2 linked regions of the Mus musculus genome follow. The main gene of each other region encodes a partner of the protein of the gene in region 2 in a complex. Links are inferred from orthologs where the notes say so. Each region holds a gene or a part of one and is shown on either strand. Other genes may lie near its edges.

What was found.
Region 1: the proteins of Slc3a2 (region 2) and Slc7a10 are in contact, whole or in part, in a cryo-EM structure (PDB 8WNT), measured with the Homo sapiens proteins. The link is inferred for Mus musculus from reciprocal best matches to the Homo sapiens genes SLC3A2 and SLC7A10. Residues at the interface, in NP_002385.3 of Homo sapiens: Phe161, Thr162, Gly163, Leu164, Lys166, Leu169, Leu170, Val172, Ala173, Trp178, Arg182, Leu186, Phe189, Trp190, Trp193, Met196, Leu197, Ala200, Ile203, Ile204, Ala207, Pro208, Arg209, Cys210, Arg211, Glu212, Leu213, Arg534; in NP_062823.1 of Homo sapiens: Leu147, Val150, Phe151, Asn153, Cys154, Pro157, Ala160, Val163, Leu164, Met166, Ala167, Met170, Leu171, Trp174, Ser352, Val359, Glu481, Thr484, His485, Trp486, Gln488, Glu489, Leu490, Phe492, Val493, Val494, Tyr495, Gln497.

Annotation. Positions count from the first base shown.
Region 1 is NC_000073.6:35,198,998-35,201,611, reverse strand, and holds the end of Slc7a10 (asc-type amino acid transporter 1), read right to left. Parts: intron 2,388-2,614; coding exon 2,291-2,387; coding exon of another isoform or gene 2,269-2,290; intron 2,073-2,268; coding exon 1,923-2,072; intron 1,337-1,922; coding exon 1,159-1,336; intron 895-1,158; coding exon 761-894; coding exon of another isoform or gene 711-760; 3' UTR 501-710; downstream 1-500. UniProt on the Homo sapiens protein: Associates with SLC3A2/4F2hc to form a functional heterodimeric complex that translocates small neutral L- and D-amino acids across the plasma membrane. Preferentially mediates exchange transport, but can also operate via facilitated diffusion.
Region 2 is NC_000085.6:8,711,098-8,715,380, forward strand, and holds the start of Slc3a2 (4F2 cell-surface antigen heavy chain), read right to left. Parts: upstream 2,801-4,283; 5' UTR 2,656-2,800; coding exon of another isoform or gene 2,651-2,655; coding exon 2,245-2,650; intron 1,807-2,244; coding exon 1,633-1,806; intron 832-1,632; coding exon 737-831; intron 1-736. UniProt on the Homo sapiens protein: Acts as a chaperone that facilitates biogenesis and trafficking of functional transporters heterodimers to the plasma membrane.

The DNA of each region.
Region 1 (2,614 bases), on a different chromosome or scaffold from region 2:
TGAGTGCTTCCATGCAGGGTCCCTGGGGAAGATGGCCCAGTGGCTTCTGCCCCAGCCTTGTGCCTGTGGCAGCAGCATGGGCCTGGCTAGGCTGCATTAGTCCCCAAGCATTATGGTAAGGCTAAAAGTATATGAGATAGGATGACCGCAAGAGAGGCCAGTCTATGCCTTCTCAGGAGACAGAAGTCAAGGCACCAGCTGACAATGGAAACAACCATCCTGTCCTGCCTCAGAGACTCAGTTTCCCCACCTGAAGCCAGGGCTGTGCTATCAGAAGTTGTAGCATTCACTCTGGTGATTTTGGGGGAGGACAGTAGTCCCACTTAGGGATTTCTGGGTTCTCTTGGATCGCTGAGTCGTAGATGGAGCCTCACTGTCTCCTCTGGGCAGCCTCCAGTTCAACCAGCAAAACCCACTAGGGCTGAAAACCTTTTCCATGGCACCTTCCCAGCTAGCAGCCCATATACCGCGCTGAGGCATGTTTCCACGGACTCCCCTTGCACACAGCAACAACCAGCCCTGTTTATTTACAGGCATTTCTGGAGAAGCTAGCAGGGCATTGCTAAGGCAGGAAGCCCGACCCCAGTGGCCAGTCCCTTACAATAGGCCTCTAAGGGTTGGGTCTCTCTTTCTCTCTCTCTCTCTCTCTCTCTCTCTCTTTTTTTGCAGAAAAAAAATTTTTGAAAACAAAACAAAACACAACCCCCTTCTCAATAAACAACATGTAAACAGAATCGGCTGTTCCAGTCTCTACAAGGTCTCATTGTGTCTTCAAGGGCTTGTCCGTGATGGGCAATGGGGAGGGCTGGCCCATGGGGCCATTTTCCTCCTCCTCTAGGGAGCCCTGGGGGTAAACCACGAAACACAGCTCCTGGCCCCAGCGTGTCATGGACTCTAAGAACAGACAGACAAGACAGACAGATAGACAATGGCGGGGGCCAGGAGGGGAGCAATCCTTTAAGACAGGGATGACCCTAACTCCAGATACCTCCCTTGGGATGGGAGTTGCTTCTTTTGCAGATGAAACCTAGCCACATGTGTATGTAGCAAGAAGCTTTGAGGAAAGTCATTGGGTCCTGCGTCACCAGCCAGGCTGATAGAAGGCCCCGGCTCTGGGGTGGGATCCTACAAGAGGCATGGTGGCAAGACCCTTCTCACCTGTGAATCTGTGTACACACTTTGGTTTGCTTCTCCAGAACACTCCCAGGAAGAAGATGGGAACCCCAGTGAGGATAATGATGATGCCGACCCCACAGACCATGGGCTCCGAGATGAAGCTGAAGACCAGTAGGAATGCCCAGAACACCAAGTACACAACAGGAACGAGGAGGTTCACCTGTCGGAGAAAGGGTGAACAGGAGCACCAGGGAGCAACACCCTAGTTCTCCTGCCACCCAGGGGATTAGAAGCACTTTTTCCATCTCTTGGGAATGGGGCCCCTATGCTGGCCCCTCTGGTAGCTACCCAGTGTACTGGAGAGCAATTCCTGGGTTGACCAGTTGGCCAAACTGCTAAGGCTGTCTATTTGAGCAGTGCTGAGCTGTCTGTAACAGTTATACACAGAAAGCTGTTTACATTTGGCTGCAACTCAACTGTTTTTTTTTTCCATGCTTCAAATTTCAGGCCCTCTTCAGGATCCATATGCAGATGGGAGTCTTCTCTGTCACCCTTTCATGTGGGATCATGAGAATACCAGACTCTGTGATTGGCAGCCTCTGTGACCTTAGTCTCATTGCCCCTGTCTGTGTACTGGGGATATTAAAAACACTTGCTTCCTGGGGTTAGAGGAGATAACATGTCAGAGAGTGTAGGGTGGAAAGCTCTACACTCTGCAAATGCTATATAGCCCATTGTCCTCATCACCTATACCTGCCTCTAGTGCTCAACTTGGATGAAGATGGCCCTGTTATTTCCAGCCTCACCTTAATGGGCCTGTGGAGTGCCGGCCGTCTCCAGCGCAGCACAAGCAGGCCCAGGATAGTGACTCCGTAGCAGAGGTAGTTGATGAAGGACACATAGTTGATGAGTGTGTATGTGTCACCCACGAGCATGATGACCGCTGTGGCCCCGCACTGGGAGAGGACCGAGGGCTGACAGCTGGCCTCCCACCTGCTTCTGGCCATCCCTGGAGGCTGCTCTGGGCCTTCCCACTCAGGTCAGGAGGTCAGGTGGGTCCCAGCCCATCCCCACCCTCCATGGCTCATCTACCATAGGCAGGAATAAGTTTTGGCTATTATCCCCCCAAACCCCCATTGCTAGGTACACTACCTGGTTGGGTTTCCCAACTTACACAGACAAGGAGGGCAGGGATTGGGGTGCAGCGTCTGACATGAATCATGGCCAGGAAGCTGGGTAAGTGTCCCTCTCGGGCTCCAGAGAAGCATAGCCTAGGCACGGGGAAGAAAATGGATAAGGGCCAGAGCCTGGCCTTGAGGCTTCTCTGCTGTTTGCTAGAACCCAGCTGTCACATTGACCTCTGCCCTCCAGGCCCTACCAGCTCTCCTCATGTAGTCTGCCTCCTGGCTTTCTTTACTTCAAGACCAGGATCAGACATTTGTTACCGAGGATTCTCAGCATTCCCTTCCCATTGTCCCTAGCATGGCATGCACACAGC
Region 2 (4,283 bases):
GTTCAGTTCCCAGCACCTACGTAGCAGCAGCTCACAACTATCTGTAACTTCAGCTCCAGGGGATCCAATATCCTTTCTTGACTGTCCAATACCCTTTCTATTTTCTGTCTTGCCTCTGGAGACTCCTATAATCACCCAATTTGGCTCTTGCTAGTTGCTGGGAGATTTGTGTTCTAGATCTCCATTGCTGAGGATAACCTTAAACTCCCAAGTGCTGGGGTACCAAACATGCACATAGTGCACAAACACTCATGCATAAAAACAAATCTTAAAAAGCATTCATAGTGGAGTTAACTCTTTAAAAAATAATAAAATATGGGGGAAGATAAAATACCAGATACACAGTAAGACTCTAGTACTTATAATTTCAGACTGGGCTCAGTTCCAAATACATCAAACAAAAACTGGGAAACCAGTCAGGTCAGGGTTCCCACAGAGAAAGAAAAGACTTCCTATCACAAAAAGAAAAATTAAACTTCCAGTTCCAGACTGACATCTGAGAAATTCCCTTCCTGGCACAGCCTCACTTCTAGAGTAAAGGAAACACATACACACACACACACACACACAAAGCAGTCAGAACAGAAACAAGAAGAACACCGTGCACCTGGGCCTATCCCTCCGGCTATGGGAAGAGGTATTCCTGCTTGGGAGAACCACACAGTGCACAGGAGGCTTGCTGTGAATAAATCCACACAGCACCAACATCTGTATGCTGTCGGCCATAAAACCTCACCTTCATTTTGGTGGCTACAATGTCAGCCTGAGCAGGGAGGAACCACGCATTCTGGCCCTGGTAGTTGGGAGTGAGGTCCAAAATGATGTGAATGCCTAGAAAAATAACGAGTTGAGAGAACTCCTTTGGGGAAGAAGAGGAAACAAGGAACTTGAACACAGGTTACTAGGTGAACCTACATACGGTTTGCACAGAATCTGAAGGAAACCCACAAAAGCCCTCAGGTGGTTTTATACTAGAGCAGTTCCTCCTCCGCCCACACACACACACACACACAAGTTTCCATACTGAGGTTTTGGTTTCTTTCTTATTTTCCCCTCCCATGAAGTCAGGGTTCTGTGTATGTGGGCGGGCTGCCTGAGGATAAATAAGCCCCTACATCTCCTTCCCAAGTGTGGGGTTATAGGCACATGCTGCTTGTGTTGTGCTGAGGAATCAAACTCAGGTCTTCATGGATCCTAGACAAGCACTCTTACAAACTGAGCTACGTTGTCAGCCCTCTATAGTGAACTCTAAAGCAGCATTTGAATCTCTTCTATATATAGGATCTACTTTATACATTTAAAAGCCATTTATTTTATCGAGCCATGGTGACACACTTAAGTCTAGCACTCGGGACCAGGGGAGCTCTGTAAACTCTCATCCGGCCTGGTCATGGTAGTCAGGTACAGGCCAACCAATTACATGGTGAGACCCTACCTGAGAACCAAAACCAAAATAAATACATAAAAATTACGCTCACGCATGAAGCACATTTTTTAGTGTAAATCATAACATATTCCCCCTTGTGCCTGACACAAAAAAACTGAGCCAGTTAGGAGAAAAATCAGACAAAAACTCTATCCTGTTTCTGGGCCAGAATGCCAAACCCTTTCTAGTTCCTTAGAAAGACCTACTCTTTTTCTTGGCACTTTGTAGAAGGTCTTTAAAATCTTCCTGGGAGCCCAAAGTGGGATTAATCTGTTTCAGGTCGGTTTCATTGATTTCATCCTTCTGGTTCTTGTGAATTGGGCCTAACACCAGGCCCTTCACCTTCAGGGTGCTCAAGTACTCCAGATGGCTCTTCAGACCTAGGAGGAGAGGGTTGGGTTAACCAATAGGGCATGAAAAGCCTCCAGCCTCCACATTCTCTCCACCACTTCCCGACTCCCTCTGACGCGGGTTGGATCATGAGACAAAGTAGCTGACGCAAGGAGTCTCACACATTACTTCAGAAACTGGTTTGAACTGGCTCAGGGCCGCGTGGTTGGGGGAGGGGAGAGGAGAAAGATGATGTGCTGAGTCAGGCACCCTTAGGAAGAAGTAGGGGTCCGGCTAGCGTTTTTTTTTTTTTTTTTTTAAAGAAAGGGGGGGGGATTTTTGCCAGGGAGTCGTCCCAAAAAAAATAGGTTGCAGTAAAGAATCACCAGCGTTCTAGAGAAGACGAGGAGGAAGGAAAAAAGCAGCAGAATGCCCGATTAAACGAGGGATTCATGGGGGCAAGGGATGAGGGTGCACACCCTACTCACCAGCTATGCCTCCCGCATCCCGGCCTACAAAGGCCTGAAGGTCGCCGATGCGGTAGAGGGCGCCCTTGTGCCACCACCTCTGTACAGGCAGCTCACGGCAGCGCGGCGCCCGAACGATGATAACCACGGCGCCCGCCAGCATGCCCAGCCAACCGAGCCAGAAGAGCAGCAGCAGCGCCCAGCGGGTGCGCACCCAGCCAGGGCTGCCCGCTACCTTCAGTAGCTCCTCCTTGGATAAGCCGGTGAACTTGACCCCGGCCTCCGTCTCGTCCTCCGCCACCTTGATCTTCACCAGACCGTTCTTCTCCCCGGCCGCCGCCCCGTCCGCTGCATTCATGGGCTGCTTCTCCGGTTCTAGCTCGTTCAGCTCCACATCTTTCATGTCCACTTCGGTGTCCTGGCTCATGGTGCCTGCAGAAACGGTGACACGACACGGCCTGTAGTCAGTGAGGCAGCTCTAATCCTGCCTGGATCCCCGTTCAGAGAGGCGTCCCGTGGCCGTGAGGCTAGCAGAGCTTCCTAACTGCTTCTGCCGCTGGGCGGGTGTGGCGGCGGGGAAGTGACCCAGGACTCCGCCCCGGTCCGCCTCTTAAAGAGATGCAGAGAAGTCTTTTCGCACCTCCAGCCTCGCTGAATACTCCCGTCTATCCCTAACGCTTATTCCTGCAAGAGTCTGGGAAGGGGAGCTTGTGGTCAGAAACCCTTAGAATAACAAACGTGAATTTGTCTTGACCAGGTTTCAAAGCCCCTCCTCCGACCTTCCGGCCCCTTACCCTGCGAGGCCTCTTTTCTCTCCACAAGATGACACCAGTCTCCATCCACATCGTGATCCCTTCGCCCCAAGCACGGCTCAGGCTGATCTCCCCAACTTCACACAGACCTTGGCACTACATCTCACTTCTGCTTTACGTACATCTTCTCATACTCCGGACTTAGCTGAGTTCCTGGATTCTCCTCGGGGCTTACACGTACTCACCTTTCAAGACTCCTTGAATTTAATTCCTCAGGCAGCAACTATTTACTGGGCACCCACTCCAATCCTTTGCTTCATCAACTGCATAGGATCAACTCTAATCCGTTCTTCTTGATTTTAAAATTCAACTGCAGAATTGAAGTGGTCACTACCCTTATTATCTTACCCTAGTTACTAGCAAGAATGTTGGATTACTGGGAATCAGGCATCCAGAAGAGATTAATGGGGCTGTAATAAACATTCCGAAGGTATTGAGGCACCTACCCTTTTAATATACAAGCTGTTCTAACTCTTTTTTTCTTTTTTTTTTAACTATTTACTATTTTTTAACTATTTACTCACTTATTATATGTGACTACACTGTAGCTGTCTTCAGATGCACCAGAAGAACTATTTACTCACTTATTATATGTGACTACACTGTAGCTGTCTTCAGATGTACCAGAAGAGGGCGTCAGAACTCGTTACAGATGGTTGTGAGCCACCATGTGGTTCCTGGGAATTGAACTCGGGACCTTTGAAAGAGCAGTGAGTGCTCTTAACTGCTGAGCCATCTCTCCAGCCCCTGTTCTAACTCTTAACCACCTTGCAATAACTCTCAAACCCTCTAGTGTGCCGGGCTACATCAGTTGACTATGCTAGGCCCTGGAACCAGCTTAGTTCCCTCACACTTTGAAAGTTTCTCAAATTCCCCCGGCAGAGGTCCTTGGCAAGAGGAAGGGTAAATGGGGCAGACTGGGTTAGCAGCAGGGACAAGTGAAAAGTGAACATCAACTCTAGGAGGTGCCAACAATTTCAGGAACTTTGTGTTCCAATTAGGTTATTTTCAGAGAGAATCGGAAGGAAACAACAGGTCCTTTCTCCCTCTCCCCACGTAGGCCGGCAGCCAAGATTGCTATGTATTTGGAAGAAAGCAGAAGCCAAGGCCAGAACAGTAGAGAGGAAGGGATATGAAAAGTCTCATCACCTGCCACTGTCCTTTTGAATTCCCAAAGTCCTCCCCGGCCTCACTAGAGAAAAGTCTATACACCAGCTCCTAGGAAGAGGGAAGAGGCTAAGGGTCATG